Linked DNA regions of Oryctolagus cuniculus. The protein of the gene in region 1 interacts with the protein of each later gene in a pairwise test. Links are inferred from orthologs where the notes say so. Each region holds a gene or a part of one and is shown on either strand. Other genes may lie near its edges.

Region 1 (4,352 bases):
AAAGCCTCCACACTTTCAATGTATTGCCTAGCCCCCCTCCCCCAGCCCTTTTCCTCAAAGACTGAGTCCAAATCCAACACTAAACCACAGAGCCCTCCAAGCTGAAGACTGACACATGCATCTGATGGGCCTCCTGTTGATACCACAACCAACCAAACTACCCTTCCCCACAAAAACTCTGCCATGCAAAACACAAGCTTACAGGAAGATTGAAGGTTCCAACCATGACATAGCTGTTGGCATTCCGGTCATGAACTGTGGCCCCAGGCCCCCGAGTACCAGGCAGGGGTCCCCCACCATGGGTGGCTGAGGCAGACCCTGTCCCAGAAGATGCCCCAGAAGGGAGCTGAGTCTGAGGAGGAGCCCGTTCCACCAAATGGATAACCTTTCCCCCAACATCTGCAGAAAGAAAAAGACATACATCAAAATAGTTGTATGATCAGGTAAACCCATGGCCTCAGCTCATCCCTCTGAACACTATCCTCTACCTCTGCAGTGCCTCCCCACCCCCTTACTGTATTCCTGGAGCTTCTTGTCATCTTGCAGAACTCGCCCCTGATAGATGAGCCGCTGTTTCTCAGAGGGGATGCTGACAGAGGCAGCAATATGCTCTTTAAACTCCTTCACACTCATCTGCAAGGAAGAAAGGACACACACAGGAGTCAGATAAAGGACAGAGGAGGTACAGAAGAGGGACCATGCATTAGGGAAGGTGAGAGGTAGAACTCATATAGAATCACTAGCCAATTGTCTCCTATGTGAGGTAACTATCGTGCAAAGCTTGACTCAAAACAGAAGCAGTAAACTCAAGGACACTCATGGCACAGACCAGGAGAAGATGTGGATAAGAAACAAGAAAGCCGACTGCCAGCCCCCTCTCTCCTTCTTTGCCTGGTTCCCAAGGGAAGGTGCGCTCAGTGCTACCAGTGACCCCTTCCCAAACACAAAATGATACCAGGACAACCCTGTAATCTCAAAGACAGAAACAATGGCAAGGAGAATGGGTTAGGGAATCAGGTGAGGGAAGACTAGCCAAGAAGAAAAGGTAGCAAAAAGAAAGGGAAGAAAGAGAGAAAAAAAAAGAGAAAGAGAGAAAAGAATGAAGGAAGGAAAGAAGGAAGGAAGGAGAGAAAAAAAGAAAGTCATTTTTCCTACCTAGAAAACTCACTCTTATGAAATGCTAGAATGTTTACATACATCTAACCACAAAGGCCCATATTATTTTCTTAATAACATGTGATATTTTATGAAACTATAGATCAGTCTGCTCACAATTCTGTCTCTAGCTATTTCAGGAGTAAAGGCACAGACAGCTGTGTCCACAGCATTAAACAGAGTTTCAAAGTATGCTGCAAATACAGTAATTCCACTCGCTTGTCTACAAAAGCTCTATTCATTACGAATTCTTATGCGCATACTTAAAAAACAGTATAGGCAGTGAGCACCCAGCCTAGCAATTAAGATGCTCACATCCCATATCAGAGTGGCTGGTCAATACCCAGCTCTGGCTCCTGGCTCCGGCTTCCTGCTAACACAGACCCTGGGAGGCAAAATCGATGGATCAACCAACTAGATAGTGTTCCTGGCTTCCAGCTCCTGCCCAGTCTCAGCCACTGCAGGCATTTGGGAAGCAAACCAACAGATGGAAGCTCTGTCTCTTTTTAGAAAGAAAGAGAAGGGGAAAGAGGAGACAGGAAAAAAAAGAGTATACACCCATGTGACCAATTTCTGTTTATAGAAGACACACTTGTTTGGGGGTCACTGTATCACGTCCATTCCCAAAGGCTGTCCCCTTGGGCTGGAGGCCACATAAGATGACAGCGTACAGATTCCTCCTTCCTATTCTCTGCACTGACTTCCACCAAGTTGAAAGAAGGCAGAACAAAAATCTGCCTCACTCAACAGTTAAAAAAGTGAACAAAGAAATCAATGAAAACTCAAGGACTAGAACATCAGGCTCTTCTCCGTCTAATGGGCCCCCGGGACAAAGGGCCCACAGATGTCTTCCAGAAGTATCGGGGTCTCACCTGGGCCCCCACAATAAAGGTCCGAGTCTGAGAGTCCAAGGTCTTCACCAGCACCTCCAGGCTGTCAGGCTCCTCCATAGTGGTGCTGGTACTATCACTGGGCTCCATGGCCGACACCTCTCTAAGAAAGAAGGGGGAGAGGAAGGTCCACTGTCGCCCGGAGCCGATTTTAGATCCAGGAAGCCTCCCCGGGCTGAATCCCCGCCCCAATACCTAAAAAGTTTCTCCCGCACAAGCACACACACTCACACCCGCCCCCATTCCCCTTCCGATTCCGGGGCAACGAGAGAGAAACACAAAGGGCAGATCGACGGCACAGGGAACCGAAGGACAGGAGGTAGGAGGAGCTCCACAATGCCAATCACAATGAGGGCGGGTCAGTCGGCTTAAGATACGGGAAAAGAAGCAAGCATGGGACCAGAGACCCGTGTCATCACCAGTCACGGCACTACAAGGGTCCCAGAAGTCGACAAACCCTGGGACAACCCGAGAGTGGGAGTCGCGCCAGACTCCGCGGAGAAAGTGGTTTCGCGCACGCGCGCCACGCCCATCGAACCCGCCTAAATCACTACAGACCCGGACGGCGGACACTCACGGGGGGCTGGACCGGCTAGCTGACTGCCCCCCCACTTCCGCCTTCCCTCGGTGTTCCAAGAGAGCAGCACAACCAACACACAGCCACAGCCAAACACCATACACATACACTCCCCACCACCCTTCGGCTCCGCCCCCGACTTCCCCACGGTACCGTCACTTCCGGTCTCCCCCAACCTGCCTCCGACGGTCACTTCCGTTTCCCCGATAGTATCTGGGGAATCACGAGGCGGTACTTCCGGCTCCCCCAGGTCCCCAAGCGTTACTTTTGTGGGGCACGATTAGAAAGTCCGTAGCCCCAAACAGTGAGTTGCTGGGGGCGAGACGGGCAGGGGCCGGCCTAGATGGGAGGGAGCCGAGCACCCCGAGGAGCCGCCGCCGTCGTCGCCCGGGGACCGTACTGCGCCTGCGTTAAGTCTCATTACGCATGCGTGCACATTTAAACTCCGCCCACCCACCCCCTCTGGCGGTGGTTACTTCCCCTGTGCGCGCGCTTCAGCGATTGGGGGTTGAGGTGGCCACTATAAATGCCTGAAGAAAAAAATTGCCCGATGAGACTGCCACTGCCTCAAGAGAGACTACGAACTATTCGTGTAGACCTTAGAGTTTGGAGCCTGGAGATTTTGCCCCGTTAACCTATGTTAAAATCCTGGTAAGCGGAGAATTTTAGGCGGCATTGTCCTAGGCACCTAAGCCTCCTAGCGTCTCGCGGTCGTCCTCACGGCACCTTTGCTCCGGCGCCTCCGGAAGTCACCTTTGCCGTAGGCTGTTGGGGGCGGCTCGCGAGATGTTTCTCCGTGCGGTTGCGTCGTTGGGCCGGAGCTCGCTTGTGCCGGTTGGGGCGTTTTGCGGACTGAACGTAGTGTTTGTTCGTCATGGGCAGTGAGCGGCCAGGGAGTCACGCCATGTTGTAGGAAGGCTAAGCCTGCCGCTGTCTTTCAGGACTTTTGTCAAGAGAAGTGTTTTCCGAGTTTGAGAATTGTCGCGATGGAACCCGACTGGACCGAAAGAGGAGACCTTGACCTTGGAGAATTGAAAGGCCACCGAGGGGCTTCCGCAGGGGTGCGGTGGGGGGACTACCGCTTCTCTGCGCCCCCTTTCCCCCACGTCTTTCTGCGATTTGTAGTTTATACCCAGATCCCAGGACTGGTTCAGTTTAAATAAGCACCTGCTCAGTGTGCCAGCCAGTATAATAAGCGTTTTACATATTTTAAAGTTTTGACCTTGGAAATGGGTACTAACATCTGTTTTATAGGTGAGTACGCCTAGACAAACCTAGGTGGTGGAAGTGACAAACACGGGCCCAGTTCGACGTTACTGCTCCAATAAATTGTTACATCTTAGCTTTTTCTTGAGAAATCTCAAAGCATTACCCCCAAAATAGACTAGTAAAATGAACTTTCATATACCCTTCGCTCGGATTTAGCTTTGATTTTTTTTAAACCGTGATCTGTTTACACAGTAAATCACAAGTCCATAGCAAGCCTCAAGTCCCAGAGTAAATCTTTGTCGTAGTCCGCGGGTAGTAAGTAATTTGGCAATGGAGCCCTGGTCATTCAGCAGCAGTTCCTCCCTCAGCACAACCCAGTGACCACAGCGTCACCATTCTTCCCTTAGTGCCTATGGTTTCAGAGATTACCCACCAGAAACTAGTAAGTAGTCTGCAGATACTACTGTTATACTGAATATTTAACTTGGGACTTAACCATTTTCTGGTCTTTGCTAAAGACT
Region 2 (2,735 bases), on another chromosome or scaffold:
TTCCAGCGTGGGGACGCCTTCGTGCCGGCCGGTGGCCCGCCGTGCAGTGAGCCGGGCGCGGGGCTGCCGGGCGCCATACCGGTGCCGGGACTGGTGCTCTCGTTCCCGCCGGCTCTCGGGGTCCCTGCCGTCATCAGCCTGCGCCCCAGCGGGGAACGCGGGGATCTCAAAGCTGTCGTCAAAGATGCCGAAAGCAAACTGCCCGTAGCCCTGCGGCAGCGTGAACAGCTGCTGGTCGACGTTCTGGGGAGGAGAGGGACGCTGACCGGAGGCCGGGGGGAGGGAGAGGGACGGTGGCCGGAGGCCGGGGGAGGGAGAGGGACGGTGGCCGGAGGCCGGGGGAGGGAGAGGGACGGTGGCCGGAGGCCGGGCCTGGCGGCACCGTGGGCACATGGCAGGTGAAGCCGCCGCCTGCATGGCCGGCGCCCACGAGCGACTCCACTCCCACCCAGCTCCCTGCTGACGGCCCGGGGGGGGGGGCGGGGGGGGCAGCAGGGATGGCTCAAGTGCTTGGGGCCCCGCCACCCCCACGGGGGACCCAGCTGGAGGTCCAGGCTCCTGGCTGCGGCCTGGCCCAGCCCCGGCCACTGAGGCCACGTGTGGCGTGAGCCCGAGGGCGAAGCTTACGCCCTCGCCAGCTGCTCTGTCACTGCTGGCCGGGGCTCGGGGCGACGCCAGGGAGGTGACGCTGGCCTTGCTGCTGCCCCAGCAGGGTGGACCGCAGTGGGAGGGGGCGTGTGGAGGGCCCCCACCCCAGCGGGGACGGCCCTCAGGCCAGGGGCCCGCACCCACCTCGAACGGCTGCCGGCTCTGGCTCTGGTCGGTGGGGGCTGTGGACGGGGCAGAACTGTTCTCTGTGTTCCTGGGGAGACAGCGGTGTCAGCGCCGGTGTCTGTCGGGGGCCCCCCAGGGGTCACGCCCTGCCTGTGCCCCCACCTCTGGACCTGAGAGCCAGGGCCCCTGTGAGCCAGGGCGCGGACCCCACCCTGGCCTGGGCTGTGCCAGGCGGGAGCAGCTGCCCCTCCCGCTGTGAGCGCACGTGCGCGGGGCCCCTCCCCTGCACGGCCAGCGTGCCCACCCCCGGCCTCCACGGTCGAGGTCACCTGGTGTCTTCTGGAAGCTCCTCGATGAAGCCGGACTCGCATCTTGGGCAGGTGTAGTCCTGCAGAACAGGGGTCACTGAGGGGGACTGCCTCCTGGGCCCCTCCCAGACACCCCCACGGGGGTCTCCCAGAGCAGGGCGCTGCTCGGCGGGACCAGCGACGCCCAGGGCGGCCCTTCCAGAACACTGCAGAGCCCCGGTGCCCAGACCCCCGGACTGCAGTGGTCGACGCACCCCCCACAGCAGGCTGTGTGCCCTCGGCCACGGGGGGCGGAGCCGGGCGAGGGCGGCCCCCACGGGCAGCACGTGCAGGACTCAAACGGACGCGGCTCCCAGGACAGGGCCGGCACCGCGATCACGGGCTCCAGGAAGACGCCGACCACAACCGCGTCTCGCCCTGCAGCCAAGCCCACGAGTCTCCCGAGACGTGGCCGCCGGGCCGGCCCAGTGCCCCTCGCAGGTGAGCGGGCACACAGGGCGCGCGGCCCACGCAGCCACGGCATGCAGGGACCCGAGGACCCCACGCTCACGGAGATGCGGGCACAGAGGCCACAGCCTGAGCGACTCCACCAGCAGGACGCTCCCAGCGAATCCAGGGAGACAGGAAGTGGATGCGTGGGTGCCGGCTGGGGGAGGCAACCACAAATGGGTGTGAGGTTTCTTTTGGGGCGAGAATGTTCTGGGATTAGACTGCGGTTACGGTTACATAACTCTGGAGACCCTGAGCGCAGGGACTGTGCACCCAGCCTGCGACACGGGAACACGGCCCGGGACCCCGCTGTGCTGTGCGCAGGTGCGGCGACCAGGGCGGACGCCCCACCCGAGTCGTCCTGCTTCCGACGTCGGGGCCTGCGGAGCATGAGCTGTCTGCCACCCCGGCTCAGGGCGGGCACCCAGCACCCACGCTGCTCTGACTCAGTGCACCTGGACGGCTGCCCAGGTCCTGGCCACACCTCAGCCCGTGCTGGTGGCTGGCCCCGCCACGGACGGGGACGCAGCTCGGAGGCGACTGGCCCTTGCTGACCTGCGTCCACCCCTGGCGCAGCCCACAGCCCAGGTGTGCCCAGGCCCCCAGCCTCTCCCCCCACAGCTCAAGTGTACCCAGGCCCCCAGCCCCTCCCCCACACAGCCCAGGTGTGCCCAGGCCCCCAGCCTCTCCCCCCACAGCTCAAGTGTGCCCAGGCCCCCAGCCCCCCCCCCACAGCTCAAGTGTGCCCAGGCCCCCAGCCTCTCCCCCCACAGCTCAAGTGTGCCCAGGCCCCCAGCCCCCTCCCCACACAGCTCAAGTGTGCCCAGGCCCCCAGCCCCCTCCCCCACACAGCCCAGGTGTGCCCAGGCCCCCAGCCCCCCCCCACAGCTCAAGTGTGCCCAGGCCCCCAGCCCCCTCCCCCACACAGCTCAGGTGTGCCCAGGCCCCCAGCCCCTCCCCCACACAGCCCAGGTGTGCCCAGGCCCCCAGCCCCCCCCCACAGCTCAAGTGTGCCCAGGCCCCCAGCCCCCTCCCCCACACAGCTCAGGTGTGCCCAGGCCCCCAGCCCCTCCCCCACACAGCCCAGGTGTGCCCAGGCCCCCAGCCTCTCCCCCCACAGCTCAAGTGTGCCCAGGCCCCCAGCCTCTCCCCCCACAGCTCAAG

What was found. The genes of interacting proteins can lie anywhere in the genome.
Region 2: the proteins of BAG6 (region 1) and RNF126 interact in binary tests that used the Homo sapiens proteins (3 or more experiments, as listed by UniProt). The link is inferred for Oryctolagus cuniculus from reciprocal best matches to the Homo sapiens genes BAG6 and RNF126.

Annotation. Positions count from the first base shown.
Region 1 is NC_091436.1:138,962,294-138,966,645, reverse strand, and holds the start of BAG6 (large proline-rich protein BAG6), read right to left. Parts: upstream 2,939-4,352; 5' UTR 2,799-2,938; exon of another isoform or gene 2,623-2,798; intron 2,149-2,622; exon of another isoform or gene 2,145-2,148; 5' UTR 2,136-2,144; coding exon 2,028-2,135; intron 634-2,027; coding exon 516-633; intron 400-515; coding exon 203-399; intron 1-202. UniProt on the Homo sapiens protein: ATP-independent molecular chaperone preventing the aggregation of misfolded and hydrophobic patches-containing proteins.
Region 2 is NC_091447.1:58,384,734-58,387,468, forward strand, and holds part of RNF126 (E3 ubiquitin-protein ligase RNF126), read right to left. Parts: intron 1,163-2,735; coding exon 1,104-1,162; intron 863-1,103; coding exon 793-862; intron 244-792; coding exon 1-243. UniProt on the Homo sapiens protein: E3 ubiquitin-protein ligase that mediates ubiquitination oF target proteins. Depending on the associated E2 ligase, mediates 'Lys-27'-, 'Lys-29'-, 'Lys-48'- and/or 'Lys-63'-linked polyubiquitination of substrates.